Macaca mulatta: one gene and its partner. Each later gene encodes a partner of the first gene's protein in a complex. Links are inferred from orthologs where the notes say so. Each region holds a gene or a part of one and is shown in the gene's direction. Other genes may lie near its edges. The genes, in order: PPARGC1B and PPARA.

Evidence for each region.
Region 2: the proteins of PPARGC1B (region 1) and PPARA are in contact, whole or in part, in a crystal structure (PDB 3SP6), measured with the Homo sapiens proteins. The link is inferred for Macaca mulatta from reciprocal best matches to the Homo sapiens genes PPARGC1B and PPARA. Residues at the interface, in NP_573570.3 of Homo sapiens: Ser154, Leu155, Leu156, Gln157, Leu159, Leu160, Leu161, Thr163; in NP_001001928.1 of Homo sapiens: Val284, Thr285, Thr288, Glu289, Lys292, Phe297, Leu302, Asn303, Gln305, Val306, Leu309, Pro458, Leu459, Glu462, Ile463.

What each region holds. Positions count from the first base shown.
Region 1 is NC_133411.1:158,687,691-158,703,248, forward strand, and holds the start of PPARGC1B (peroxisome proliferator-activated receptor gamma coactivator 1-beta), read left to right. Parts: upstream 1-5,152; 5' UTR 5,153-5,185; coding exon 5,186-5,263; intron 5,264-7,675; exon of another isoform or gene 7,676-7,741; intron 7,742-15,558. UniProt on the Homo sapiens protein: Plays a role of stimulator of transcription factors and nuclear receptors activities. Activates transcriptional activity of estrogen receptor alpha, nuclear respiratory factor 1 (NRF1) and glucocorticoid receptor in the presence of glucocorticoids.
Region 2 is NC_133415.1:5,332,005-5,347,599, reverse strand, and holds the start of PPARA (peroxisome proliferator-activated receptor alpha), read left to right. Parts: upstream 1-8,190; 5' UTR 8,191-8,322; intron 8,323-8,346; exon of another isoform or gene 8,347-8,833; intron 8,834-9,550; exon of another isoform or gene 9,551-9,570; 5' UTR 9,571-9,652; intron 9,653-15,595. UniProt on the Homo sapiens protein: Ligand-activated transcription factor. Key regulator of lipid metabolism. Activated by the endogenous ligand 1-palmitoyl-2-oleoyl-sn-glycerol-3-phosphocholine (16:0/18:1-GPC). Activated by oleylethanolamide, a naturally occurring lipid that regulates satiety.

The sequences.
Region 1 (15,558 bases):
AGTTCATCCTATGGAAGCCATCTGAGCACTCCACACACCATCTGAAGCCCTGGCTTCCAGTTCTGGCTCTGCCACTAAAGGGCCGTGTGACCTTAGCCACATTCCTCTACCTATACAGTGAAGCTGGTGGAAAACACCTTTCCACTGCCCCTCCACAGTTCTAAAGTTCTATCATTCAATGGGAGGTGGAGATGGTTTTCAGCATCAACAATACAAAGCAGGCAGCTTTTTAGTTCCTCTTGGCCTGAGTCCCTGCCTCCTGGACAGAAGCTGGGAAATAGATGAGCATCTGGCTCCCTGGCCTGGGTCACAGAATCACAGAATCGTGGGTGGCTGGCAGGAAGCCTCTGCGTTTATCAAGACCCACGTCCTACCTCCCTCCCTCATTCAACACAAATTTACTAAGCAGTTGCATTGAACAGAATGTGGGCAGAGATGGCGGCTGTTGTGTTCACCAATTTATCCATGGCATCTAGCGCAGTGGGTGGCACATAGTAGCTGCTCACTACATATCTGCTGAATAGTGTCTCATCTCCTACAGTAGAGTCACCTAAGGGAGCCTATTAAGCACAGATTCCTGGGCCCACCCCAGACCTCCTGAATTGGAATCTCTGGCGATAGAGCCCAAGTGACTGTCACGCCCTCCAGAGTTTGAGAACCACAGCTGTATGTAGGGTCTGAATAAAGCATTATCTTGCTATCGGAAAGGAGAAAATGCTGATGTTTCAACTTTTGAGCATTTGTCGGTAGTGACTAAAGTATTCAAGTCAAATAGGTTCATTTTGCTGTAGCCATTTCCATGGAGCCTGGCGATCTCTGCGCTTTGCACTAGGTATGCACAAGGCTCACTTTCACTAATCTTGAGGGAGACGAGGCTGATAAAAAAAGGCAGAGAAGATAGGAGTCAAGCCACACAATGTCCAAGCTTGGCATTATTATTGCCCTTCACTTGGAAGTTACCAAACAAGAAATGTGCTGCCCTTCTAGCTTTCATGGGGAGGTTAGATGCTATGAGATTTTTCACCCTCCCTTTCCAGTGTCTGTAGCTTGGACTGTGTACACACCTGGGTTCATATCTGAGCTGTTGACTCTATGTAGTCCGGGGCCAATCACTTTAACCCCCTTTAAACTTTTGTTTCTTCAGTCATAAAATGGACATCATGATTTACCCTATGGAGGGTTGCTGGAAGGATGAGAGATGCTATAAACTCAGGCGCTGGGCACATGCTCAGAACAGAAAAGCTCTAAGTTTTGGTTGATGTCTATAAACTGCCATAACATTTGGGATACAGGACTCTGCAGAGGTTCATCTAGGCTAGCTCCTTCTTTTTTCTTTTTTTTGAGACAGAGTCTTGCTCTGTTGCCCAGGCTAGAGTGCAATGGCACAGTCTTAGCTCACTGCAACCTCTGCCTCCTGGGTTCAAGCAATTCTCCTGCCTCAGCCTCCCTAGTAGCTGGGATTATAGGCAGGTACCACCACACCCAGCTAATATTTTTAAATTTTTAGTAGAGATGGGGTTTCACCCTGTTAGTCAGGATGGTCTAGATCTCCTGACTTCGTGATCAGCCTGCCTCAGCCTCCCAAAGTGCTGGGGTTACAGCTGTGAGCCACTGCGCTTGGTCTGCTCCTTCTTTTTTTTTTTTTTTCTTTTGAGAAGAAGGCTCGCTCTTGTCCCCAGGCTAGAGTGCACCCAACCGACCACTCCTTCATTTTTTTTTTTTTTTTTTTTTGAGACGAAGTTTCGCTCTTGTCCTCAGGCTCACTGCAACCTCTGCCTCCCAGGTTCAAGCGATTCTCCTGCCTCAGCCTCCTGAGAAGCTGGGATTACAGGCGCCTGCCACCATGCCTAGCTAATTTGTGTATTTTTAGTAGAGATGGGGTTTCACTATGTTGGCCAGGCTGCTCTCGAACTCCTGACCTCAGGTGATCCACCTGCCTCGGCCTCCCAAAGTGCTGGGATTACAGGCGTGAGCCACCAGGCCAGGCTGCTCCTTCAGTTTATAGATAAGAAAATAGCCTCAGAGAAGAGAAGCAAATGGCACAAGATCATCTAGCACCTCAGGCTTTTTGAGGGCTTTTTTTTTTTTTTTTTGAGATGGGGTCTCAGGCTGGAGGGCAGTGATGATCACAGCTCACTACAGCCTCAACCTCCTGGGCTCAAGTGATGCTCCCATCTTAGCCTCCAACGTAGCTGGGACCATGAGTGTGCACCATAACCCCTGGCTAATTTTTTTTTTTTTTTTTTTTTGGTATTTTTTGTAAAGATGGGATCTCCCTATGTTGCCCAGGCTGTTCTCAAACTCCTAGACTCAAGTGATCCTCTGGCCTCAGCCTTCTACTGTTGGGATTACAGGCATGAGCCACCACACCCAGGCCAGGACTTTTAATCTCAGTTAAGAACTTCACATTTTTCCACTGGCCAGAGGAACTTCAAATTCCTCCATGAGGCTGAGACTCTGTGAGCGACCTGTGATGAAGGAATTTCTGGGACAATATGCTTTTGAAAAGGAGGCTAGATATCTCAGGTGAGGCCCTTTCTCGCCTAAGTTTCTTGCCAGCCAGAAGACTGTTGTGAGGATATAGTGATTGGCGAGAAAGTCCTTGACATTGGGCAATGTGTGGCTTTTCTACCAACATGGGAGTTTTAAAAACAAAAAAGCCTCTGAGAAAGTGCTGTCGGGCCTTCCCTGGCAAGGCAATGAATGGCAACTCTGCAAGGACCAAGGCTAGAGATGGCTGGCTTTGGGAATACTTCAAAGTTTGGTCATCCAAAGTTTGGCCTCTGGGCTGTAAAGGACACACCACCGGTCAGGGGCCAGGCTGGGCCTGGAAGGGACATCTCCGGAAACCATCCCACAGGACTCTGACTCTGGTGCCCAGGAGAGTAGCAAAAAAATGGGGTCTTGGGAGAGTTCAAGTCCTTAGCGCTAATGGCGATGACATTGGTGATGTTGGTGATGACTATAGTGATGATGGGCATTTCCTGCCTGCAAGATTCAGGGCCAGGCAACTGACTTTACATGAATTGCATTGTTTCATTCAATCCATCCTCATAAGATCCCTATGTGGAGCAAGCAGTACCATTGCTATCCCCACTTTACAGATGAGGAAACTGAGGCTCAAAGAGGTTAAGTAAATGACCAAGGGCACATAGCTAGTTTGCACCAGGATTCAAATCTGAATGTATTGGAGTCCAGAGTCAGTCAGCAGCCTGTAAGTGCTGGAAAAAAGGCAAGTAACATTGGCTAGTGCCTTCAAGGGATATATATTTCTTATTCCCATTTTAACAGAAGGGAAACAGAACAGAGCGCTTAGCATATTCTCCATGAGGTCAGGCACTGGGCCAAGCACTTTACATATATTATCTCCTCAATCATCAAAACATCCCTATGACGTAGGTGGTTTTTTGGTCCCCATTTGTGTAGATGAGGAAACTGAGGCCTGAGACTAAATGACTTGCTATGGTTCCAAATCAAGCAGTGTGACTCCAGGGCCCATGCTCTTCACCCCCTGAACAAACCAGATGTTCCAGTATCCAGATGCAGGGCTTAAACAGAACCCAGGACTCCTGACTCCTAGTCTAGGGCTCTGAGGCTAGAGGCAGGCTCTCTGTTGGAATGCATTGTTCCTTAAAAGCACACTGGCCTTAAGCCCAAAGAGTGAAATCACGCCCTGCGGTTCTGGGAACCTCAGACTGGAGAAGGAAGCTTTTGCCCTGGTGTTCAAGTCTCAGCAGGTGTGCTGGGGACTCTCCCTCTGTTTCCTTCTCCTGCTGGAAGGGAGCCCTTGCTAGGTGGGCAGGGTGGGGCAGCCCTTATGAGTGTAGGGTGGGAGGGCAGGAGGCAGGTGTGCCCAATAAAACAGACCTAAAGCTTCCCGCCTTCTTGCCTTCATCCAGGCAGTGCCCTCATCTCCTGTCTGGCAAACAACAGGGCATGATGATGAGAGTTCAAGTTTGGAGTCAGGAGGTTTGAGTTCTGGTTCTGGCTCAGGCAGTCACTCCATGTACACACTGACAGTCAGTTTCCTTATCTGTATAATGCGTGGTGGTGGTGGCAGAGAATCAAAATTCTCCAGCCTTTTCAGTTAACACATCATCTATTAAGTGCCTACTGTGTGCCAGGAACTGCGGATACAGCAAGTGCAAAAGCAGATTTAGGCCCTGCTTTCATGATGTTAGCGTCTTGTAAGACAGATACAAAGATTAAGTCTTCACTGCAACAAATGTAAAATGGCAACTGTGACCAGCTTTTAGAGAAAAAAGGCCTGCTGATGGAGCTAAGGGAGCCCATCATGGTTGGGGTGGAAGGAGAGGAAATGGCTTGACAGTCCGAGGGGTAATAGGGAAAGATGCCCTGAAGAGATTACTAGGTGAATGGCTGCTGGGTGTACAAGCCCGTTGTGAGTGGGCCTGCGGAGGCTGGCAGGAGCCCAGCCCCTTCATGCATTGTGGGCATTGGTAAGAGAACTCATTGGAGTTTTTTGGGGGAAGGGTGTTGGGGGACGATGAGAGAGAGACATATATGATCAGGTTTAGCACAGAATGTAGGCAAACGCACCCTTCAAGTAAAAGATAAAAATGCCTCCTCCTCCAAGGAGACTTTCTTGATTTCTTTTCTTTTGATCTATGGTATTTCTCCCTCCTTCTCTGGCCTTGTAGCCTGGGTAGAGAAACTCAATCCTCCAGGGGAGTAAGACCTGAGCTTTCCCTTCCTGCAACTGATGTGAGCTGTAGCTTCAAACGAGGTCCTATGCCTTCTTGAGTCTCAGTTTCCCCAGCTGTGCAGAAGCAGGTTGTCTCGCAGGGTCCGCCCAGCGCTAACGCAATGTGATTCGTTCTGGCAGGAGCCGGGGGCTGCCCGCATTGCTGCGCAGGCATCGGGCTGCTGGCTGGGGCACCGCCACCCGGCTGCCTGTGCTTTACCCCCTGCTGAGGGCTGCGGGAGCCGGTCTCGGCGCCAGACGCGGCGCAGGAAAGTGGGTGAGCGACCCCCGGCTCCCGCGGGCGCCGCGCGGCCCCGCCCCCGCAGCCAGCGGCCCTGCGGCAGCCGGGGGCTCGAGCTCCGCCCTCCGCCTCCCGCCGGCCTCACTCCCTCCTCCCTCCTCCCTTGCTCGCTCGCTGGCTCCCTCCCCTCGGGCCGGCTCGGCGTTGACTCCGCCGCACGCTGCAGCCGCGGCTGGAAGATGGCGGGGAACGACTGCGGCGCGCTGCTGGACGAAGAGCTCTCCTCCTTCTTCCTCAACTATCTCGCTGACACGCAGGTACGGCCGGCCGGGGCTGCGGGCCCAGGGCCAGGGGTGCTGAGCTGCGGGGGCCGCAGCCGCAGCCGCGGAGGCCGGGAGGCAGCGGTGGGCGCCCTGAGGTAACTGGGGGTTCCAGGCTGCAGAGCCCCCCTTCCAGGCGCCCTGCGATGCGCTTCGTTACCGGGGCAGGGAGCCGGAGGTTTCCCGGAGCGTGCTGGAGCGCTGGGGGCGCTACTGCCGCTGGGGAGGGTCTAGCTTTGGCCGCTTGGAGTCTGCCCCCCCGCGGGCAGACCTGGGGGGTACCGCGCTTCCTTTGGGAGGTGTAGGCGCGCCACGGTGTGAGGTACCCTCAGGCTGGCGCTGGGTGCTGGAGGCGCGCCGTCAGCTCCCGGCACTTGCTGCCGTACTTTCACGTGGACTTGTGGCCCCGGCACGGGTGCTTGCTCCGGTCTCCGGAGTACCCTAGTCCTCCAGGCTCTAGTCACCCGAGTGCTGTTGCTGGCCCCCCTAGGTTTTCTACCCGCGCCCGCAGCGCGGAGTTTCCTGCCAGTTGCCGGCTAAAGGCATAGGGGTCTGCGGGGCACGTGGACACGCGGGCGGAGACAGCGTCTTCCTGGTTTCGCTATCGGGCGGAGCCCCCTGGGGGGAAAAGCCAGGCTGGATGGGGGCGGAAGGACTGTCTGGGGGCGCCTGGGTCCCCCTGCGGTGCGCGGCCCCGGTGCGCGCTCCACGATGCTGGGGGAAGGGAAGGCGAGGCGCAGTCCCAGGCTCTGGCTGAGCCCGGGAGCCCCACTGGCGACACGCGCGTGACAGGAGAGGGTGCTCTGGTGTGCCAGGGCGCGGGGGAGCAAGGAAGCTGGTGGCTTGGAGACTGGGAGAAGGGTGCTGCTGGGACAAGCAGCCACCAAAAATGTCAGCACGAGGCGTGCGCGCCCCCCACCTCTTCCCCCATTTTCCCCACCCAATGCCTGTTGCAAGCATAAAGTTTGGCTCCAGAGTTAGGGCTTTTTTCTCTGGGCGCCCGGCTGCGGGTCATTGGGAAGCTGGAGATGCGGCGGAACCTCGGAGGAGTCCCCGGGTGCTGGCACACGCCTGGGCACGGAGAGGGGCAGCCGGGCGGAACCGGGCGCGGCTCGCGGGGGCTGATTTGATACCTGGAGTGGGAGCGCCGGTGCCGGCCCGTTTTGCATAACAGTGGAAGGGAGGGGGAAGGCGGAGATGGGGGGAGGGAGGTGGGAGGAGAGAGAGGGAAACTTTGCTTCTTGTTATAATCTGCCTGTCTTTGGGCGGCAGCAGCTGTCATGGGACCGGGTGGGCGGGGAGAGGCTTGCAAGCTGACTCCTTGCGGTGAAACGCGACTTGGAGGGGACGCCGCAGCCGAGACGTTCAGCTCCGGGCGGACTCCGGGTGGCGACTTCGGGCTGGCGGCTGGGACGGCGTGGCGTGGCAGGGTGTCGCCAAGAGGAAGCCCGCCACGCGGGAGGCAGGCCGGCCCTGGCCCGCTGCAGACGCCGCTGCGTAGGGGAGCCGCTGGGCCGCGTGGTCGGTGGCGGGCGCGCTTGGGTGGGTTCGCGGCTGAGGCCGGAGGGGCTAGTGGCGTGTGATTGCGCTTCTCGAGGTCGGGGGGAATGTGTGCTGAGTAGGTTGCGCGCGCGTGTGCATGTGTGTGTGTGTGTGTGCACACGCCGCGCGCGCCGGGCGCGTACCTTTACCTCTGACGAAACTGCGGTGGAGCTCCCGCCGTCGTCGCCGGGCTCCGTCACACGCCCCGCGCCGGTGTCTGCGCCGAAGGCGGGTCCCAGCCTCAGTACCCCCAGAGCCGACAGCTTGGGGCTAGCGGGCACTGAGTGCGGGAGGAGGGGCAGAGTCGCTCTTGGGAAGATTCTGTCCCCAGATCTCGAAATTGCCCGGGGTCGTCTCCAAATCTCTTGGCTGAAATGCGGATGAGGGAGGCCTGAAATAGCCGGAGACTCGTTCAGGGACCCATGTCAAGAACTGTCCGCTTTGGACCATACCCCGGATTTTAACTGGATCTTCAGTGTTTGGCTCAGCAATAATTAATTATTTTGCCCTTTAGCCGCCCAGCGAGCCTAGCTAGCAGAAATATTCCACCCAAGGAGACTAGAAAATTGAATAATCAGGTGTTAGCAGGAGCAGTGCAGTGAAAGTTAATCTGGGACGTTTGCCTTTTTTTTTTTGTTTAACCACGTGACAGGCGGAGGATCTTCTGGTGATCTTTGCCGGCCCAACTTGGGAAATGTAATTGATAGGATGAGCTTTGAGCCGCCCCTAGAAGGCTCGGAGAGCCCAGCCGGAACAGGACCTGGGCGGGCCCAGTGTGCACCTCCTCATTTTACAGTTGGAGAAAGAGGCTGCGAGGGGTGAGCGGCTTGTATGGGACCATGCAGCCAGAGGGTGACAGAGCCACCCAGGGCTCCTGACTCCAGGTCCTGTGTGTTACCTCGAAATAGCACTGGACTTGGAGTCAGAAGGCCTGAGTGGAGTCACCTTCCCCACTCTCTGGCTGGGTGACCCCGGAGCAAGCCATTTGAACTCTCCGAGCCTCATTTCCTCCATCTGTCAAATGGGGCTGGTGGTGCCGCAAGAGAATCCAATGGCCCAGTGGTGGGGGTGAGCATTGTTTTGCATGTGAGATGTTCTGGTTGTTCCTGCAACCCCCTCTCCTCCCCCAAACTTTCCCTGATCCTCCCCTCCTCCATCTCCCTTTGGGAGCTTTGGGGAAAGTGGATTAAATGGTAATTCATTGTCTTTGTCCCAAAAGATTGTTGTTGTCTTTGGTGGCTAATCCAGGGTTAGATTAGAGGGAGGACTTCTGTTTAGAAGACTTAACTTTTACCCATTGGGGCCAAAGTACGGAAATTTAGCAGAACAAGGATTGCGAAAGTTTCTTGGAAAGCTTTGAGGCATGAATCCCAAAGGACTGTGGGTGGCTTCACCTTTGTTCAGGCTGTGCCCCTGGCCCAGAGTGCCCTCACCCACCCGTCCTGCATGGCCTTCTCCTCTAGTAGGCTCTCCCAGCCCAGCTCGTCATGCTTTCTGTCCTCTGGTTTTCTGCATCTGTGTTATACAACCAAGCGCTTTGTGTAAGTCTGGTGTCCAGTAAGATTCTAGCACTAGGGCTGTGCCTTTTATCATTGTGCCCGCAAGGCACCTGTCAATATGCTGAGCCGTGTTCCTTTGCTTAGCTCTTGGCTAGGCACATGGATTACAGACAGGGTCGCAGCTGGGTCCTGCCAAGCAGAAGCTGCCAGGCTGGCAGGGGAGACAGCTGGGCAGTGAGTGTGGGAGAGAGGAATGCAGAGGGCTACAGCTGTGGGCAAAGGCTTTGGCCCCAAAGGCCACACAGCAAGCCCACACTAAATATGGACTATTTGGAGTTGCTTAGGGCATCAGTCATAGATGCACAAAATGTCAGAGTTGGCGGCGGGAATTTTAGAAATCATCTGTTCTAACATCTTATTTAAAAATATTTAATTATAGAATTGTTAGAAAATACTGCCAAGCATAAAGAAAAAAATGAGAAATATATAACATGACCCAAAGATAACCACTGTTAATTGTCATGTATATTTCCAGACTGTTTCTTTCCTGTTCATATAGATCGCATCTTATTTTTAAATAATGGAGTCGCCGCGCACAGTGGCTCACGCCTGTAATCCTAGCAGTTTGGGAGGCCAAGGCGGGTGAATCACCTGAGGTCAGGAGTTCGGGTCCAGTCTGGCCAACATGGTGAAATCCCGTCTCTAGTAAAAATACAAAAATTAGCTGGGCATGGTGGCACACGCCTGTAATCCCAGCTACTTGGGAGGCTGAGGCAGGAGAATCGCTTGAACCCGGGAGGCAGAGGTTGCAGTGAGCCGAGATCATGCCACTTCACTCCAGCCTGGGCAAAAGAGCGAAACTCAGTCTGAAAAAAAAAAAGGAGTTATCCTGAATATACTGATTTGTAACTTGGAATCGCACTGTTTTGTAACTTGTTTTTTTTCTCCTCCAAACAATATGCTGTGAACATCTTTCCACATCAGTAAATATTCTACTTAGTATCTTAATGATTATATAATGTTTCATTGAAGATTGAACCGAAATGTATTTAATTAATCCTTTATCGTTACTCATTTAAGTTGTTTAATTTTATTTTGCTATTGTAAGCAATGCTAAAACGAATATCTTTTTGTGTATGTCTTTGTTCCTTCCTTTACATTCCTAGAAGTGAAATTACTCCATCAAACCCATTCCTGGATTCTCTTCTAGAAAGATTGTACTTATTTGCGTACCAGCATAGTCTGGGAACACCTTGTTTCCTATACCCAGATAACTGTTGATATTTTCATTGTTTTTCATTTTTACCGGTCTGTTCATCAATAAATTCTGTTACCCTTATTGTTTGAATGTGCATTTATTTGATTACTTGTGATGCTGAACTTCTTCCCCATATGATCATGGGTGATTTGTGGTTCTGAGTTTCTGAACTTGGCCCATTTTGTAATTGGTATCTTGTCTCCTTGTTGTTCTAAAGCTGGGACTGAGCACCCAGAAGGGGCCCCTGCCACATGGAGAACTGGGAAAATGGCCCCACACACCCCTTGAAGCCAAGGCCAACTTCTTTTTCAAATCAGTTTGTGGGTTTGGACAAGTGTATAGTGTGTGGGAGAAGGTTGAAGTGTAGCCTTCACTGGGTGCATTTGCCCATTCTTCATCTGTATAAGACTTAGGGAGAGTAACTTCTTCACCTGAGCCAAAAGGGGTCATGTTCACCAGAGACCTGGGCTCCACTTTCGTTGGGATTCCCTGGCTGGTGCTAATGATCAGGATGCCTGTGAAACCCAGGAACGGCAACGGCCCAGCAGCTGGGCCATAGGGGCTCATATTTCCTCTTTACTTTGGGGCCCTGCTCTTAGCAGCTAGTGCAGGCCAGGCAGAAGTTCCACTATGCCACGTGAGTCACCCTCTTCCTTCTTCCTTTGAAATAGAAGAAAGACTGGCTCGAGTGAGAAGCAGCCTTGCAAAGGGGGCTCAGGCTTGAAATGCATTACAAGAACATTGCAGTGTTGATCCTTGCCTTCTCCTTCATCATTGTCATCATCAGTGATGTTTACTCAGTATCCCCTAGACCCCATGCAGTTTACTGAGCCTTCTGTTTGCACTACTACATTTCATGCTCATAGAGATTGTGCAAAATGTAGGTGCTGTTGCACAGTTGTACAGATCTTACAGTTTCAGAGAACTCACTGACTTGTGGAAGACTAATTACCTTTGAGTAAGTAGAAGAGCCAGCATTAGTGGGCAGTGTTCCCAGACTACTTGACTTCAAGCTCCTTGAAGACAGGGACTACTCTTGGTTTTTGTTCATCGTTGTTTTTCTAGCACCTTGAGCTAATGAAGCCACATTGATTGTATAGAGAGAATGCAGAGGCCGGGAGCGGTGGCTCATGCCTGTAATCCCAGCACTTTGAGAGGCTGAGGCAGGCTGATCATGAGGTCAGGAGTTTGAGACCAGCCTCACCAATGTGGTGAAACCCCGTCTCTACTAAAAATACAAAAATTAGCCGGGCATGGTGGTGTGCGCCTGTAATCCCAGCTACTCAGGAGGCTGAGGCAGGAGAATCGCTTGAACCTGGGAGGCAGAGGTTGCAGTGAGCTGAGATTACGCCACTGCACTCCAGCTTAGGCGACAAAGTGAGACTCTTTCTCAAAAAAAAAAAAAAAAAAAAGAGAAAGAATGCAGAACAAGTCCCTCTGCTTCTCTAGGCCTGTTTCTCAATCCTTGAAATGGGGATAATAGGCCCTAACTCTCAGGGTTGGGAGTGAAATAATACAGTGTATCTAAAATGAGCATTCATCTGCTGCTCATAAAACTTAGAATAATTCTCTCTTTGAAACACTTTAGAAGGACAGGATCAAGTATGGAGCTAATTTTCATACATGTAATCTTATTTTGCATAAAAAAGAGAAGCATAATTCTTATTAGAGAGTCAAGGGTACCCAAATAAAGTCATTTGGAAGAAAATGATCAGGGTCAATTTCTATCTGTCCTCCTACAAGGTAGTCAGAGTGCCTCATATCCATCCCATTGATACTCAGCTGATGCAGAATTGATTGGATTGATCTTTCTGTTCTTCTCCCCTTCTGATCTAGGTTTTTGTCTGTTTGTAACTAGATTCCTGCAGTTACTACCAAACAGATCTTTGCCGTACCAGACTTTGTCTTCTTCCATTTGTCCTTAGCCCTGATGGCAGATCAGTCCTCTTAGAGTGCATATCTGACATCACTGTCTTGCTCACACATCTCCCATGGCTCCCCAGTACATTTTTTTCTTTTAAGACTTTATTTTTTTAGAGCAATTTCAGGTTCACAGCAACATTGAAAAGAAGGTACGGAGATTTGCCATATACCCTTGCCCCCAACATGCATAGCCTCCTCCATTATTAACATTCCCCACCAGAGTTATAGATTTGTTCTAAATGATGAACCTACATTGACACATCGTTGTCACCCCAGAGTCTGTAGTTTACATTAGGGTTCACTCTGTGGGTTTGGACAAATGTATAGTGACAGGTATCCACCATGGTTACATAACATCACACAGAATAGTTTCACTGCCCTAGAAATCTGCTCTACCTTTTCATTTCTTCTGTCCCCCAACTCCTGACAACCACTGATCTTTTTACTGTTTCTACAGTTTTGCCTTTTCCAGAATGTCATATAGTTGGAATCATGCAGTATGCAGTGTTTTCAGATTGGCTTTTTTGTCACTTGCTGATGGGAATTTAAGGTTCCTCCATGACTTTCATAGCTTGATAACTCAGCTCTCCAGTATTTTAAAATTAAAGTCTAAACTTAAACCTGATTTCCAAGGGCCTTCAGGTACTTAAGTTGGACAGTTAGGCCCTTGACTTTGTCTTGAGCTGTCTGCTTTTACTTTGGGATCCTGTACTTCCCCAGGAAAACCCTGAATTTTCCTCCTGGAGGCTTAGACTCGGGCTGCCCTTTTCTGTGTCCTCCGTCTCCATTTCCATGATTCATCCTGCGAGCCGCCGCTCACCAGCCATTGTTTTGGCAATGCCTTCTCCCTCACCTCCAAGCCAGCTGTTCCATCTTCTGTGTGGCAGTATGCAGGGCCAGCAGAGCACTGATCTTGGAATCCCCTTATTGGGTTTGAGTCTTGGTTCTGCGATTTGCCAGCTTTGAGGCCTTTGGCAGGTCACATAACCTCTCTGAGCTTCTGTTTCCTCAAGTGGGAAGATATGATGATTATGATTGTTGTGAAGAGGCCAGGCATGGTGGCTTACACCTGTAATCCCAGCGCTTTGGGAGGCTGAGGTGGGTGGATCGCCTGAGGTCAGAAGTTCGAGACCAGCGTGGCCAACATGATGAAACCCCGTCTCTACTAAAAATACAAAAGTTAACTGGGCGTGGTGGCGCATGCCCGTATTCTCATCTACTTGGGAGGCTGGGGCAGGAGAATCACTTGAACCGGGGAGGTGAAGATTAGGAAATCACTCCTGGACGTTAAGCTCCACAAAGGTAGGGATTTTCGTTCATTTCATCCACCTTTTTTTTCCGCCACAGTGAATAGATCAGTGCCTGGAACATAACAGATACTTAATCAGTCCTCATTGAGTGAATGAATATGCTAGACTATGAGCCTCTTCAGGGCAGACGCTGCTTCTTGTTTTATATCTTCAGTCCGAGTGTTCCTGAGAAGGGATGGACTAATCCAAGTCTGGTGGAATGAACTGGAATGTCCTCTCCCCACCACCATCTCTGCCATTTTAATGTATTCATAGCCTACCTGAACTTTAAGCCCCCTCTCGAAAGCCTGCACTCTCTGGAAAGCTTTTTTTTTTGAGATGGCATCTCACTTTGTCGCCCAGGTTGGAGTGCAGTGGCGTGATCTTGGCTCACTGCAACCTCCGTCTCCCAGGTTCAAGCAGTTCTTCTGCCTCAGCCTCCCGAGTAGCTGGGACTACAGGCATGTGCCACCACGCCCGGCTAATTTTTATATTTTTAGTAGAGACGGGGTTTCACCATATTGGCCAGGCTGGTCTTGAACTCCTGACTTCGTGATCCGCTTGCCTTGGCCTCCCAAAATGCTGGGATTGCAGGCGTGAACCACCGCGTCCAGCCTCTGGAAAGCCTTTGAAGCTAACTTCTTCTGCTTCCACCACCCACGTGGCTTGTGCCACTTACTATCCCATGGTATCTGTGTTTGCTTTTATTCCTACAACTGGATTGAAAGCTCTGGGAGGACAAGAAATTATTTTTATCCTGGACTAGCACTGTGGTTGCCTAGAAGAGTGTTTTATATGTTTCAATGTCAGGTTCTCTGAAAAGAACTTTGTATTTTAAATACTTGACTATGGAAAATGTCAACTCATACAGAAGTAGACAGTAGAGAGAACAGTATGGTGACTCCCCATTCCTCCATCACCCAGCGTCCACTGTTGAAGACTTGCAGCCACTCTTATGCCGTCTCTATGTACAAGCCGTCACTTCATCTGTGACTGTTTCACTGTGTATCTGTGAAGAGACTTCTGAGTGCTATTGCATGGATTTCTCCCAATAACTGAGACTGGCTTTCCCTATTTTGTAGGTGATGAAACTGAGGTGCAGGGAGGTTACGTCAGTTGCTCAGGGTCTTGAAGCTAGTGAGCGGCTTACCTGGGATTTGAACCTTCACCATGAGCAGCTCCCTCTCCTTCCAGGCTTGGGGCAGGGGGCCCTTGGAGATATCAGGTACACCTTGCCGTTTCCAGAAGAGAGAACACTGAGGCCCAGCTGCTTGGCTGGAGGAGGCCCAGGCCCCTGACTGCCTGGCAAGTTCATTTCCAGTGTCAGGTTTTGCGAGGTGCGGTGGGCCTTAGCTCTTGGGGAGGGCCAGGGTGGGTAGTCCTCTGAGAGACACCATTGCCCTGAGTGGCTGGACTTTGGGTGGCTGTGGTACTGTGGGGCAAGGTCTACCACCACCCCTGGTCAGACTGCATTTTCTTCCTACTCTTGTCATTCCTGAATCCCAAAGGTCCCCCTTGCAGTTGACCACGAGTTCTCTCATGAGATGCTTAGGACTACCCAGTGAGGGAGCGGGAGCCAAGGGGTCAGCAGCGGGGTTCACAGAGCTCAGAGAGGAGGGGCCTGGCCTGAGGTCACCCAGCTGGGCACAGGGTTGACAGGCTCTTGGTGGCATCTGGATCCGTGGGCTCCCACCCTGTTCTTTCCTCAGGACAGAGACCGAATTGCCACCCAGGTCTAGAGTAGGCGACCAGAGACAAGACCTGAGAGACTTTCACAAATGGTGGGATAAAGTCATTGATTAACTGTCCCCAAAGGCCTGTGATGACTGTTTGGTGTTTTAGGTAAGAAAACAAACATTTGCCCTAATTGTTTGTTTTAGTGGCTGTGAATGCTAGGATTGGGTTCTGCTTGGGGCAAAGCCCTGGGAGCTTGGCAGAGAATTTCTTTGGGCCTTCTTTTTCTCTCTAGGAAATGGGACTGATAGTAGCATATACTCTGAAGGCTTTTAGTGAAGAATAGTTGAGGCAATGTCTATAAAGTGTTCAGAAATGCTCAATGAGTAGTAACCCTTGTTATTATGAAAAAGAGACACATATAATGCAGACTCTGCCATTTGTCTTCCCCCTGAGCTCCAGGTCCTTGATCTAGTCAAGGCCCTGAGGTTCCTCTTGTAGTGTTTTTTCCTGTCTACTTCTGGGGCAGGTGACGAGGGATCACATCCAGTCCTAGCAAGTGTTGCAGTACTGACTTAGGAAACCCATCTAGTGAGATGCCACTTGAAGGGAGAAGAAATATCCAGTAGTGGTTAAGAGCTCTAGGCTTTGGAGTTTTAACTGCCTGTGGTTTAAATCAGTGCTCTACCACTTACTAGTTATGTGACCTTGGGCAAGTATCTTAACTTCTCTGACCTCAGTTTCTTCATATATGATCCCCCAAATTGGGGATAATAATAGTGTGCTCTTTGTAGGATAACTTAAGATAGCTGCAGATAATTAAGGCTTGCAGCTTCACCTGACATATAGTAAGCGCTCAATAAATGGTAGTCGCTAGGATGATGACAACGATAATGATGTAAAAATATGAAACACCCAAATGTCAATTTGAGCTTTCTGGGAGTTGGGAGTGCCTTAGAGATGATCTTGCTTAATGCCCTTACCTTGAAGGAAGGAAACAGACTAGAAACAGATCAGAGGATGCCTTCAGGTCACTCAGCAGAGGCAAGACAGGGCCCTCGGCTGCTGTCTGCTTGGTCAGGGCTGGCTCTGAGTGGCTGGGACTCA
Region 2 (15,595 bases), on another chromosome or scaffold:
AGTCATGGTGGTGTATACCCGTAGTCCCAGCTACTCAGGAGGCAGAGGCAGGAGGGTCACATGAGCCCAGCAGTTTGAGGCTGCAGTGAACTGTAATTGTGCCACTGTACTCCAGCCTGGGTGGCAGAGCAAGATCCCACCTCCCAAAAAAATAAAAGAAGGAAAGAAAGAAGACAGGCTTGTGCCTACAGGTGGTACTTTTGAATTTCCACTCAAACTGCTGTCTTTCGAGTAGGGCCAGACCACTTTCCATTTTGGTATCTTTGCAGCAGTGCCATTGTTCCTTATGGAACAGTGTCTCAGGACACCGCTCCTGCTCCTTCTGCCGGCTCTGAGCAGGTGAGGACAGGGGGCTGGGAAGGTCCCCTGCGTCTGAGCCCGCCGGTGCTCAAGCATCTTTCTTGGCTGCCCACTGTCTGCAGGACAATCCCAGCTCCTCAACCTGGGTCTCTGGCCCTCCAGGTGCCTGCTGCATACGCTTCTCAGCTATACCCCTGGCCTGCCTGGGCTCAGGGCTGACTCTTACTCCAAGGGCCGGCAGCATGAAGCTGGAGCCATTTTGCAGCAGGAAGGATTCTGTCTACTAGGAGCTGAGGCCACATGGGGGGAAGGCGGGGTTCCTCTGCTGGAGCCCCTCCTGGAGTGATGAGGGAGGCAGGCACACAGAGAGGGAGTTAGAAGAATGGGGTTAGTGGGAAACTGAGGTTTGCCCCAGGCATGAGGAGGCAGTGAGGGCAGACTCCTAGCCCAGCAGGGAGGGGAGGTACTGAGAGCACCCAGCCCTGAGTGAACAGCAGCTAGACTAGGCCAGGCAGATGGCCAGTCCCTCCTGCAGCGCACTCCGAAGTCCCAGGGAGCCAGGGAATGGGCAGAGCTGAGAAAATGTCCTGGCAACTCCACAGGAGCCCGGAGCCCACCATGTTCTCTGAGAAAGTCAGCACTGGGCACACTGGACAGGGAAGCAAGGTCATGCCCGGAAAGGCCAACTCAGTCGTTGGCACCCACTGAGCACCCCCTAGCTAGTTATTTGGTTTTGTTTTAAAAACTCAACTTAGCACGAACACTCACCAAGATGCTTTGATCTAGTTTAATGCCCCCACCTGGAGAGGGGGAACGATGAATTGACAGTCTCCCAGCCTGTCTTCCCCACCAGCCATCCAACAACCCTGCCTGCCAGGATGCTGGTCCTGTGTCTGCCTGCCCCGTGCCACCGTCACCTTGCAGAGAAACACTGATTGCCTTCACACATCTGGCTCCAGCCAACTCCCTCCTCTGCACACCTCGAGGCTCCCAGGCAGAGAGGAGGCTCTTCCCCAGGCCGGGGCCCCCCCGGGAGGGTGCCCAATGGCATGCAAGCCAAGGCCCGTGTGGGCATAGCTCCTGCAGGTTCTCAAGGTTGTAGCCCACACCCTGCTCCTTGGCTTTGTCAAAGATCAAAATCAGGGCCTCACATAGAACTTTATATTCCAACATTGCAAGTCTCAACACAAACCAATGTGTTGACTTGAAAATAAATATCACTAATAAAATGGAGAAGAGAGCTGGCATGGAAATATTGGAAAAATGTCAGGAATTCTTGGTGCTGTGTGTTTATCAGTAAATAAAACACATCTGAGGAGTGAGGGGGCGGCCCCTGGACCTTGGGCTGTTACGGATGGGTGCCATTTTCAATAGCTTTGGGGACAGACACGGTGTTTGCCAATATCTTGGTTTTGCCAAGTCAAAGCTAACCAACCCCTACAACTACTATCAACACTTCATCTAAGCAATTCCCACTAAGGAAAGGTATTTTCAACCACAAAAAAAGAACATAAAGGATATAGTCTTGGGAAGGAAAAGGATATTTCTCTGTTTTTCTTTGAGACAGGGTCTCTCAGTGTTGCTCAGGCTGTACAGTGGTGCGATTACAGCTCATTGCAGCCTCAACCTCCCAGGCCCAAGTGATCTTTGCACCTCAGCCTCCTGAGTAGCTGGGACTATAGGCACATGCTACCTTGCTTGGCTACTTTTTTTTTTTTTTTTCACTTTTTGTAGAGATGGGGTCTCATTATGTTGCCCAGGCTGGTCTCAAACTCCTGGCCTCAAGCAATCCTCCCCACTCTGCCTCCCAAAGTGCCGGGATTACAGGTGTGAGTCACTATGCCTGGCCTGAAGAAAAGGTCATTTCTTTTTTTTTCTTTTTTTTTTTTTGAGACGGAGCCTTGCTCTTGTTGCCCAGGCTGGAGTGCAATGGCGCAATCTTGGCTCACTGCAACCTCTGCCTCCAGGGTTCAAGCAATTCTGCCTCAGCCTCCCAAGTAGCTGGGATTACAGGCATGCACCACCGCGCTCAGTTACTTTTTTGTATTTAGTAGAGACAGGCTTTACCATGTTGGTCAGGCTGGTCTTGAACTCCTGACCTCAGGTGATCCACTCACCTCGGCCTCCCAAATTGCTGGGATTACAGGCCCCCCATGCCCAGCCCAAGACTATTTCTTTTTTTCTTTTCTTTTTTTATTTTCCTTCCTTCCTTCCTTCCTTCCTTCCTTCCTTCCTTCCTTCCTTCCTTCCTTCCTTCCTTCCTTCCTTCCTTTCCTTCCCTCCTTCTCCTTCCTTCCTTCCTTTCTTCCTTTCTTTCTTTGACAGAGTCTCACTCTGTCACCCAGGCTGATCTCCACTCACTGCAACCTCTGCCTCCTGGGTTCAAGCGATTCTCTTGCCTCAGCCCCCAGAGTAGCTGGGACTACAGGCGTGCACCACCACACCCGGCTAATTTTTGTATTTTTAGTAGAGATGGGGTTTCACCATGTTGGCCAAGCTGGTCTCGAACTCCTGGCCTCAGGTGGTCCACCTGCCTCGGCCTCCCAAAGTGCTAGCATTGCAGGCATGAGCCACCGTGCCCGTCCCTGAGGCTATTTCTTTAAATCAGCTAGTTGAAGTTCTATAGGAAACTCTTCACAATGTCCGTTTTTGTTTTCTTTTGTTTTTTGTTTTCACTTTGCTGCAGACCCAGAAAACTTTGTTAAACGTGACCTGTCCCTTCCAGGAGATGAGGGACCATGGCCCAATCCCATATTTTAGTGAAACCCAAGGCAGAGCAATGCGAGAGGGCAGCCTCCCCTCCACTCAGCTGCACGGGCTCCAGTTCACATTGCCTTTCCTGGCTGGCAGGATTCTTTGGTGAAAGGCAGATAACAGGGTGGGACAGGGGATCATGGGCGGGAGACACGTAGGCACTGGGGCTGGTGTCTGCGAGGCATCAGGGCTGCCTGTCAGCTGTCCTGAGTGGAGAGACAGGACCAGGCAGTGGGCCCTGTAAAGATGGTGCTGGATGTGACAAGAGCCACATGGAACACAGGAGGTGGTGGCCACACAAGGCAGAGGGTGGCTTTGGCAGGGGGACGGTTGCCAAGCAGGCTTCCTGTAGGCGGCAACTCTTGGCAGAGCCCTCAAGCTGGTGGTTACCATGTCCCAAATATGACCCACTCATCAGGCCCCACCCTGCACCACCCTTGTGCTCCCTCCTCAAATTCACACCAGGACCCATCGAGGCAGGTGTTCCTGCCCCACTTTAGAGATAAGGGGGCTCGGATAGCATCACCGGCTGGAGGTTGTAGTGTGAGAAAAAGATACAGGAGGATTTGAATCCAGTTCTGTTGAACTCCAAACCCCAGGCACTGCCCACTCGTTCTATGATGGAAAGTGGGGGGATAGTGCCCAGGCGGCAGGGTGCTGTACACGTAAGCTTGCCCGCCTTGTGCGTTTCCAGTCCGCCATGCCAAGCCTCATCTCTGCACTTTCAGTCTTCCCTGCCTGCAGCAGTGCCACTCACTGCCAGCCACTGAGTCAGATCATTGCAGAATCCAACTCCATGTAAAGTAGATCATCCTTCATGGACCAAATACGACTATCTGGCTGGGCGCAGTGGCTCCTGTGATCCCAGCACTTTAGGAGGCCAAGGAGAGCAGATCACCTGAGGTCAGGAGTTCGAGACCAGCCTGGTCAACATGGTGAAACCCTGTTTGTGTGAAAAATACAAAAAATTAGTGTGGTGGTAGGTGCCTGTAATCCCAGCTACTCAGGAGGATGAATCAGGAGAATCGCTTGAACCTGGGAGATGGAGGTTGCAATGAGCTGAGATCTCACCACTGCACTCCAACAAGTGCACAAGTGCAGAGCAAGACTCCATCTCAAAAAAAAAAAAAAAAAAGAAAAGAAAGAAAGAAAGAAAAGAAAATCCGTCGATCCTCACATCACGCTTTGCAGTGAGACTCCCACAGCACCTAGCATGACACAGGCAGGGGTCCTGCAGCTTCCAGTCCATGTCCTGGACTGGATAAACGACATCCATGATCCAGCCCTGGAGCTGGATCCTATGTGACGAGGGGGGCACCTGTCCCTTTGGAGGTGCAAAGAAGGGAGGCAGTGCGGCCGCAGGTGGGCTGCCCTGGTCCTCTCAAGATCTATAGAGACAGACATCTGAGCCATGTCAAATGGGGCCTGCTGCAAAGCTGGGGACTGGTTAATTAACAAAGGGTAGAGTGTCATGACAGCAGCAGTTTTTGGACCTGCAGAAGCTTCCAGATCCTGCAAAGCTAGAATGGATGCACAGCTTAAGCCCCTCCCCCCCACTTCAGCTGTGACCACTGGTTAACATGTAGCAAGCAGCACTTGGTGCTAATCTGATGGAGTCACGCCTCTGCTGACAACCCTCCATCGCAGGTGTCCTGCAGCCCTTAGGACCAAAGTCATACTTCCCACTGGGCTGCAAGACCTGCCTGACCAGGGCCTTGCCCAGCTCTGCCCGCCTTGTGCCATCTCCATACTCTCTCCCTGTGAACGTGTCCCCTCTCTCCTGCCACAAGCTTCTGCACATGCTGCTGCCACCCCCACTGGAGCTGTGGGGCCAGGACCAGCCACCAGTGAAATCCCATCCTTGGCCCCGGGCTCCTGAGTCTGCCAGAGGCTGTCGTATCAGCCCACAGACAGCGTCTGCAACAGACAACCGAACCCTGGGGGTACCCAGGGCCAGGTGCTGATGGACTGGTACTCGGGAGAGTTCTCACTCCCTGCTGGGGACCTTGGCCACATGCTGCCATTCCTGGCCCTTTGTTCCTCATCTGTAAGATGGGCATAATCACAGCTGCCTTGTGGGACTCTTATAGATTCTGTCCCCTAGTGTGACAATACTTCGTTACCTTGGACCCATGGGGTTTTGCTGTCAATACCAGGATGGCAACCAAGGACATGCCCATGGTTCGCCCTTACCGACAAGATCCAGCCTCAGGTCACCAAGCAGCTCCCTGCTCGCTGCCAGTGAACCCTCCCTTTCTCAGCCCACGGCCCCTGCCCCAGTGGACTTCCAGCACCTGACCCTGCAGGCGCGCTTCCAGGAGCTCAGAGGCCACTGCCCTGGTGGATGATGCCCTGGAAGCATACACTCCCCCTTGACAGAGAGCTGTGCGCATCAGCAGAGGGCAAGCCAGCAGCAAACTTCGCAGGCCCTGGATGGCAAACAGACTCCAGTCTGGACCCCAGGCCCATAGGAGAAGCTTCACCCTGGCAGTGTCAGGGAAAGCACTTGGGTGCCTGAACACAAATGGCTGTCATCACCTGCTCCCAACACTCAGGGTCTACCTGCTGCCCAGTACTGAGCGGCCAAGCCCTATCACTCCAGGTTGCCTCCTCCAGCAACCCTTTCCTCTCTGAATTCCCAGCTTCCCAATTCTTTCCCTGAGGCCGTGGGAGGGCCTCGGCTTCTCTGGCTGGCTGGCAGGCCAGCACTTGCAAGAGTGAGCGGCTCAGCAGGGCAGATATGGGCTCTACAGACCTGCCTTCCGTCCTGCGCCCTGCCACTGGCCTGGGGGACCCGGTGCAGACGGGGCTTCTCTGTGCCTCAGTCTCCATCTGGTAATGTGGGCGCAGTAATAATTACCCTCAGAACATCTTCCAGATCAGAAAATGCAAAACGGAACCTGAGATGGCATTGTCACCACATAAATGGTAGCTATGAACTAAGATCCTCATGCACCAGATGCTCCCAGCAGTCACTAAGGCTCCAGAGCGGAAACTCAGGTGGCACTCAGAGGCATTTTCAAGAGCACTGATTTGTCCTCAGAGTTACAGATTTCTACTCAGTCCCTGCGCCAGCGGTGTTTCTGTTCCTCATTTCATCAGCACTGAAGAAGGTAAAGAGAGACTTTCTGGAGCTGGGAGTGGGGGTGGCGGTGTGCCCTTTGTGACAGTTGCTCCCATGCTGGGTGTGTGACAAGGTCTTCGAGGCCAACAGAAAATTGCTTCATCTCTCTCATCTGAGCGTGGTTTCCCAAAAGAAACCTACCACCCCTGGGAGGCAGTGGATGCGGGGCTGTTTCTGGCCCAAGAGAAGAGTCCTGAACTTGCTTCTACCCTCGGGACGCCTGCGGGAGACTGGCTGACAGCATTTGATTGAAAATGCTTATTTCTGGGACACATGGATGAAAAACAAGTTTTCTCTCCCTAAAACCTTGGGAGCCCCAAAAACCCAAGAATATCAGTTTTCTGTGTCTGCTGAGTGTAAATGACCACTCTACAGACCCCCACACAGCCTTTGTCCTTGTTCATGAGAAGGTTCACCAGGTCTTTCAACACCTGGTTGACCTGGGTGGTGCATCTGGGAAAAGAAGCCAACACACCTGTGTGGACCCTGGTCCTTGAGAGCCTGGGATATGGGGACACCAGGTAATATCTTTGAGCCCAGAGGTCCTCATGAGGATATAGCCCCTGAGCTCTGCGTGGGCTGCGGAGTGTCAGCTTCCCTCACCAAACACAGCAGGATGACAAGCGTGGATGTGGCTGCCTGCACCCCCCGCGAGATATCCAGGATATTACGTGTGCGGATCACCCTGTAAACTCTGAAACATAACATAGATCTTAGCTATTGCTGGCTAGCATGTGCAAGAGAAGGTGAGGCTGCGGTGTGCCAGTGGGAAGGATATATGGGTGTCTGGAGGGTGGGACAAAGTTCACCACAGGTGCCTGGCTAATCAACTAGGGTGAGTTTAAGAGAAGTTTGTGAAAGGGCCAGTTCCCACCTGGTCTCCAGTTCCCCTGCCTAATGAGATTTGTGTTTCCTTTCCGGAGTGGGTCCTCCTGGGCGCCGGCTGCCACAAATAGCACAGTGGCAGGCGCAGCTGGCAGTGGAGGGCAGGCAGTGGGGCGGGCATAGCACACATTGCGTTCCCAAGGATGGGCGCCCTGATGTGCCGGCACCAAGGGGGTTTGTGCATTCCGCGCGGGGAGCTCGGGCGTCACGGCGCGAACAAAGCGGCTTTGCAGGGCGCTCTCCTACTCCTCGCCATTGGCCGCCAGGCCGCGACCTCCCCCTGCGCTGGCAGAGTCCCAGTGCCTTACGTGGGCACAAAGTCAGTCCCTCACCCCCCAGCGCATGGAGTAGGGGGCGGGCATGGGTCTCGGGTTGCTGGAGAGGGGTGGGGTTGTGGGGTCGGAGTTGGCGGCGCCTCCCCGAGCCCGTCCGCGTTGCCCTTCACCCTCCTCGTTCCCCCGCCCGCCACACCGCCCTGGCACCTCTCGCCACCTGTTTCCTTGTCCTCCCAGCTCGCCTTCCCCTTCTCCTTATTTTGCATCCTGGGGTTCCAGGGACAAGGTCCTTCCCGGGCCGCCTCCCACCCCACGCACTTCTGAGACTCAAGAGCACCCGGTCCCGGGTCCCGGGTCTAGACCGGCTTATCGCACAGAGCGGCACAGCCGGGCTCATCGAGAAGGCAGGAGGGGCTCGCCAGCGTGGCACTGGCGACCGGCGAGAACCTCCACCCGCCCCGCGGCGTGTCCACGCCTAGAATTCAGCCCCACCCTGGTGCCTCGGGCTGGAGGGGCGCCGACGCTCAGCGGTGTCCCGTCGGTCACCTTGGACAGCCCCTCCACCTCTCCGGCCTCAGTTTCCCTTGGCTGCAGCGACCGCGAGGCGCTAGGTGGGAGCCGCTGAGCGCTCCCGGGGCCCCGCCCACCTCGATCAGCCAATCGGGCGCCGCCGTCCGGGGGGTGTGTCCCGGGGCCGCGGCCTGGGGCCCGGAGGGCGCGCTGGGCGGGCGGGGCTTCCGGGTCGGGCCTCGGGACACTCGCCCGAGCGGACCGGGGCGGGGGGCGGGCCAAGGGGCGGTGCGTGTCGCGGGGGCGCGGCTGGCACGGACGCGCGGAGGCGGCGCCGAGCATGGGCCGTGGACGCGGCGGCCCCGCGGCGGGGGCAGCGGGCGGCGGGGGCGGAGGCGGCCGCTAGCGCCCTGCCCGGCGCCGCCTCCTTGGGCGTTCGCCCCACGGACCGGCAGGCGGCGGACCGCGGCCCAGGTGCCCGGGGGCGGGCGGGCGGGCACGCGCGCAGGGGTCCGCGGGCCGTGCGTTCCCGGTCCCGGGACCCGGAGGGCGGCGGACGGGGGAAGGGCAGAGGGTGGGCGGCGCATGCGCGGGGCCAGGGGTCTCGGGGTCCCGGGGACCTGAGGGCCCGGGGTGCGCGGCTGGAGACCTGAGGGCTAGGAGCGAGGACACACACCGAGGACTCGTGCAAGGGATCCCGGGGCCCAGCTCGGCCTCCCTCCTAGCGCTGGGGGCCTGCCCGGAACCCCAGAGTCCGCGGCTGTCCCTGGGGCTTGGCGCTGCGCGGAGGTCGGGTCTGGGGACCGCAGCGACTCTGGGTCTTCGGGTTGTCCCCTGGGAGGGAGGGCCCACGGGCAGGGACATCGGGGCTTGCCCTTCCCTCGGCGCGGTGGAGCTGGGGCGTCCCCGACTCAGAGGGTGCTTTCCGAGACCTCCAGGGATCCCCGAGGCGAGGAAACCCGGGCCCCGGACAGACCGACCCTGGGTGGGTGCGCCCGGCTGCTGCCGTCGGACGGAGACGCGCGTGTTTGTTCTTCCAGCTGCGGCCACCTTTGAGGAACGGTTCCCACTTTGTGCCCCAACGCGGCGGGGCGACCCCAGACAGGCTGTGCTGGGCCGGGTGGCTTCTCTGCGGAAGCCGCGCCACGTCGCTGCCGGTCGGGGCCGCTGCGGGTCGGGCTGCGGGTCGGGCGCCCAGGTCTTTCCGGAGTCCCGCGCTGCGCGGCCCGCGTGGTGCGGGTGAAGCCGGAGGGGCGCGGGGTGGTGCTAGTGGAAGTCCGGAGGGTCGGCTCTGTCCCCTCACTCACCCCAACTAACAGGGCACAACTGCACGCCTGTGCTTTTCTGAAGCCTTTCTTAAAAGTTAAAAGAGAGGAAGTGTGCTCCAAGTGTCAGGATTCCTTCCAAGAAAAACCCACAGTTGTCCAACGCCCTGGGCTTCGTGGGACCTCCGGGGCTGCACGACCACGTCAGCCCCCGCCGCCCCCGCCGACCCCTGCCAGGAAACCAGGGAGGCCCCTCCTCTCCCAGCCTCCTTGGGATAAGGGTGGCTTGAGGAACTGGGTCAGGGCAAGGACACGGGGTTTTACTGAGAAGGACCCTGTGACACCCCCTGTCGTTGCTGGGCAGGGTCGGGATGACTTTCCTCTTCCAAGGTGAAGAGTTGGGGGGCATTCAGAGAACATAGCGTAATCACTTCCTCCTTCACCTTCTTACTGCCAGGCTGAAGCTCAGGGCCCCGTCTGCTCTGTGGACTCACAGTTTGTGGCAAGACAAGCTCAGAACTGAGAAGCTGTCACCACAGGTAAGTAGAAGGTTTAATTTACTGTTTCCAGATGGAAATATTTAAGTGTTTTCAGTGTTTACTGTTGTTGTACTACAGACCAGCAATCTGGGGGTTATTACTTTGTGATGCAAGGTTAGATACATTTTCAGACTGAAAGTAAGATACATGTGCATGGGTTCACTTTTTTTTTTTTTTTTTTTTTTTTTTTTGAGATGGAGTCTCCCTCTGTCGCTCAGGCTGGAGTGCAGTTGCCTGATCTCAGCTCACAGCAACCTCTGCTGCTGGGGTTCAAGCGATTCTCCTGCCTCAGCCTCCAGAGTAGCTGGGATTACAGGAGCCTGCCACCACTCCCAGCTAATTTTTGCAGTTTTAGTAGAGATGGGGGTTTCACCATCTTGGCCAGGCTGGTCTTGAACTCCTGACCTCACGATCCACCTGCCTCAGCCTCCCAAAGTGCTGGGATTACAGGCGTGAGTCACCGTGCCCGGCCTAGGATTCACTTTTAAGTTCTGAGTTATTGTGTGAGTTTTGCTGGGAACTTCATTGCTTCATGGCAGGCATGTTTTGTATAATTTAAAACTTGGTAACATTAACTTTGAGAAATGTGGGTGCTTAGCAGACCCTTGGGATGTCCACACTGACTGGTACCGAGCAGTATACCGTCTCTGAGCTGTTTTCATTTTGATTTGAATATTAAGTAGATGGCTTGTTGAGATAGGCCAATGCCAGAACATGCCAAGGATAGGCTGAAGAAACGGCCAGATGATATGAATTTGTGTGGTCACCATTCATGAGAGACCAGGGACACTGGGGCTGATGATGACCTGTGTAACTCCGAAGCAAAAGTAAATTAATTGGCAAGCTGGGTGCGGTGGCTCACTCCTGTAATCCCAGCACTTTGGAAACCGGAGTGGGCAGATCACTTGAGGCCAGGAGTTTGAGACCAGCCTGGCCAACATGGTGAAACCCCATCTCTACAAAAAAAAATAGAAAAATTAGCTGGGCGTGGTGGCGGACACCTGTAATCCCAGCTACTCAAGAAGCTGAGGCAGGAGAATTGCTTGAGCCTGGGAAGTGAAGGTTTTAGTGAACTGAGATTGTGCCACTACACTCCAGGATGGGTGACAGGGCAAGACTCCATCTCAAAAACAAATGAATAAAATAAAATTAATTAACCGACAGTAGGAAAAAATGTTTTTTCTTTCTTTTCCCACATCTGTTTTGTTTTGTTTGTTTTCTGAGATGGAGTTTTGCTCTTGTCACCCAGGCTGGAGTGCAGTGGCACGATCTTGGCTCACTGCAACCTCTGCCTCACGGATTCAAGTGATACTCCTGCCTCAGCCTCTCGAATAGCTGGGATTACAGGTACTCACCACCACACCCAGCTAATTTTTGTAGTTTTAGTAGAGACAGGGTTTTGCCATGTTGGCCAGGCTGTTCTCAAACTCCTGACCTCAGGTGAACCTCCCGCCTCGGCCTCCCAAAGTGCTGGGATTACAGGCGTGAGCCACCGTGCCGGGCCCTTTTCCGACGTCTTAAACACAAAGTAAGAGACATGCCATAATCATCAAATACTGCAGTGGTTTTCACCAGCTCCTGTTTATCAAACTTATGAACAGAGTTTTAAAAATAGTGTATCAGCCAGGCGCGGTGGCTCATAACTGTAATCCCAACACTTTGGGAGGCTGAGGTGGGCAGATGACAAGATCAGGAGTTTGAGACCGGCCTGGCCAATATGGTGAAACCCTGTCTCTACAAAAAAAATATGAAAATTAAGCTGGACGTGGTAGCAGGCGCCTGTAGTCCCAGCTACTCAGGAGACTGAGGCAGGAGAATTGCTTGAACCCGGGAGGGAGGTTGCAGTGAGCTGAGATGGTACCACAGCACTCTGGCCTGGGTGACAGAGTGAGACTCCGTCTCCAGAAAAAAAAAAAAAAAATTGTATGTGAGAGAGAGAGAACTAGAGAGAAGAAAGAGAAAACCTGTCTTCTTTATAAACTATTTTATAACTTTTTATTGACTAGGTTATGAAAAATCTTTCTATGTGGAAAACATTTCTGCATCATTTGAAATGTATATATAATATCCTATTGTGTTTAGATACAATAATATTTAACCAATCTCTTTATATATGTGTATGTATTTAATGCAGTCATTCTATAAATATTTACTGAGTAGCTGCTGTGGGCTACTGTCCCGAATGCTGAACAAGACAAGCATGGATCCATGAAACTGATTTTCACACCAGAAATAAAAAGGAAACGTAAAGATAATCCTCCTCATGGTAAAAGATGAAGAACCTATTCTTGCCAGGACATCTTACTCTTTAGTAATTGGTGGTCAGTGTTCAGTTTCTTGTGTGCTGTTTTGGAGAGTCTGTTTTTGTAATAAATATTTAAGTAGCCCAGGCGTAGTGGCTCACGCCTGTGATTTCAGCACTTTGTGAGGCCGAAGGAGATGGATTGCTTGAGCCCAGGAGTTCAGGACCAGCCTGGGCAACCTGGCGAAACCCCGCCTCTGCTAAAAATACAAAAATTAGCCGGGTGTAGTGGCGTGTGCCTGTGGCCCCATCTACTTGGGAGGCTGAGGTGGGAGGATCCCTTGAGCCTGGGAAGTGGAGGTTGCAGTGACTGAGATGGCGCCACTGCACTCCGGCCTGGGTGACAGAGTGAGACCTGGTCTCAAAAAATAAATAAATATTTATGTAGTCATCATTAAGCAGTCTTTTAAATTTTATTTATTTACTTATTTTTGAGACAGAATCTCACTGTGTCACCTAGGCTAGAGCACAGGTGCGTGATCATGGCCTGATGCAGCCTGGACCTCCCTGGGCTCTGGTGATCCTCCCACCTCAGCCTCCCAAGCAGCTAGGACCACAGGCACACGCCACCATGCCTGACTAATTTTTGTATTTTTTGCAGAGACGGGGTCTTGCTATGTTGTTCAGGCCTGTCTCAAACTCCTGGGCTCAAGCCATCCTCCTGCCTCAGCCTCCCATAGTGCTGGGACTATAGCCATGAACCATTGCACCAGGCCTAAGTGGTCTTTTAGAAAAAAAAAAAACATTAATTAAAATATTTATTTGCTCATTATAAATATATTTGAAATGTGCCAATTTTTTTCTCTCTCTCTTTTTTTTTTTTTTTTGCTCTCTTGGTTTCTGTATGTGGATGGATATATTTTTAATGGCAAATAGGATGAGTGTCTTCACTTCTAAGCAGCCAGTGTTTTTCTTTAATGTTTGTACTAATTTTGTTACATTGCAGTTAGAGGTTGTGGCCTAATTTCTGCTTTTTTGGAACTTGAGAGTCGCTGTTTTTATTTGTTTTTGGTAGCTTGGCATAGAGTCCATTTTTCTTTTTCTTTTTCTTTTTTTTTCTTTCTTTTTTTTTTTTGAGATGGAGTTTAGCTCTTGTTGCCCAGGCTGGCGTGCAGTGGTGCAATCTCAGCTCACTGCAACCTCCGCCTTCCGGGTTCAAGGGATTCTCCTGCCTCAGCCTCCCAAGTAGCTGGGATTACAGGTGCATGCCACCACGCCCGGCTAATTTTTGTATTTTTAGTAGAAACAGGGTTTTGCCATGTTGGCCAGGCTGGTCTTGAACTCCTGACCTCAGGTGATCCACCTGCCTCGGCCTCCCAAAGTGCTGGGATTACAGGTGTGAGCCACTGCGCCCAGCTCTAGATACTTTTTAAAAAGGTATAGTTTCTGATTATGGGGTAGAAATGTGCTATGTCTTATGAATTGCATAGAATAAGCTAGATCACCTTTAAGGCCATGTGGTTAGGGAAACTTGGGCACAAAATTTACATTTCCAGCTTGGTGATAAGATGAGTTTAAGGTAAGAATCAAACAGGAAAAAGCCTTAGCTGTTCCAGTGGCCCATGTTTAAAAGAATGTATTTCTTTTTCCAAGTATTTCTGCCGCTATGCAGGCACGTTTTCCAGACAGGACCAGATTTGCTTGTTACCCAGAGGTGTGTGCATTCTTTGCTTTTAGGATATTTAATTAGCGTCTTTTAATAGTGGTATTATGGTGTCTTGAAAGTTTATGCATTTGAAAAGAAAATAACTTACTCCTTGCTAGGTCTCACCCTGTCATGGTTATCTTTGCAGCTAAGCTGCATTTGTTTTGAGGCTCACATGTGGTAAAAGTGGTTGAAAATTTGGAAATTTTGCTTTGTATCAGCAAAGCAGCTTGATATAGTGGAAAAGGTATTAGGTCATTAATCATGAGATTTGGATTCTAGCCCCTTAGCTGCTGCCTGCCAGGCCTGGAGACCTTTGTTCCCTTCTTTAAACTGCTGTTTTCTCATCAGAAAATGAAGTTCCTCTCCATGCCACCTCTCTGAAGGGTTGTGAAGCTCAAAGTGGTGGCTTAAAAAACTGCCCATCTCAGGAGGTGTCTTAAGAAGGAGTGAAGGGGTGAAGGCCCCTCCACACCTGTGGGTGTTTCTCGTTAGGTGGAAGGAGAGACTTGAGAAAAGAAATGAGACACAGACAAAGAAAAAGTGGGCCCAGGGGACCCGCGCTCAGCATACAGAGGACCCACGCCCTGCACCGGTCTCTGAGTTCCCTTAGTATTTATTGATAATTATCTTTACCATCTTAAAGATAAGGGAGTGGCAGGACAATAGGATCATCGAAGGGAGAAAATTAGCAGTAAAACATATGGATGGATAAAGATCTCTGTGACATGAATAAAGGAAAAATGCTATGCCTTGATATGCATATGCAAACATCTCCATAAACCTCTTAGCAGCATTGCGCCAGCAAGTCTCGCCTTATGCCGTAAGGCGGTTTTCTCCTATCTCAGTAAACAGAGCATACAATCGAGTCTCACACCGAGATGTTCCATTGCCCAGGGACCAGCAGGATTTTTAACCAGCAAGCTGCCTTCAGGCACTTGTTTAACAAAGACACATCCTGCACAGCCCAAAATCCATTAAACCTTGAGTCACCACAGCACATGTCTCTTGCAAGGACAAGGTTGGGGGCAGGGTCACAGATTAACAGCATCTCAAATACAGAACCAAATGGAGTCTCTTATGTCTTCTTCTTCCTATATAGACACAGTAACAGGCTGATCTTTCTTTCTTTTCCCCACAAGGACATACCGCTGGCTCCTGCATTTCTCACTTAGCCAGGTCTGATACCTGTGTAGTTTTCACTCTGGCCATTTTAGGATTTTTCAAAGGCTTTCAGAAAGCAACATACTACCATCGCCTCTTACACACCAAAATTGTTTTTCATTTTGGAATATACAATTAAGAGTTCTCCACTAGTACAATAAAGTTGTTACCAGTGGTTCCTATGTGATTTTTTTTTTTTTTTTTTGGGACAGAGTCTTGCTCTGTCACCCAGGCTGGAGTGCAGTGGCTTAATCTTGGCTCACTGCAACCTCCGCCTCCCAGGTTCAGGCAATTCTCCTGCCTCAGCCTCCTAAGTAGCTGGCACTATAGGCACCTGCCACCATGCCCAGCTAAGTTTTGTATTTTTAGTAGAGATGGGGTTTCACCATGTTGGCCAGGCTGGTTTTGAACTCCTGACCTCAGGTGATCCACCCACTTCAGCCTCCCAGAGTCTCGCTATTACAGGCGTAAGCCCCACCGCACCCGGCCTCCTGTGTGTTTTGAAGGTGATTGTGACCTCAGATTTTGGTGGGGCTACACCTTGCATTTGCTTTTACTCCAACTCCATGGCATACCTGAACCAGGCCTCTTCATCTTGAAGAGGGATCTGCTGAAATGCAGGCCCAGTGAATCTCCCCGTGCCCAGACACAGTTCCGTCAAACCATGGCCCGGTGCTGCCGGCACCCTGGTTCCTGGTTAGTCTGACTGTCCACACTGAGACTAATTCCTTGAGGGCAGACAGGTTGTCTTACTTCTTTCTGCCCTGCTAGACCTATAAACTGAGTAGGTACTTGTAAATGTTCCTGGAATAAGTACATGATTAACAGGATT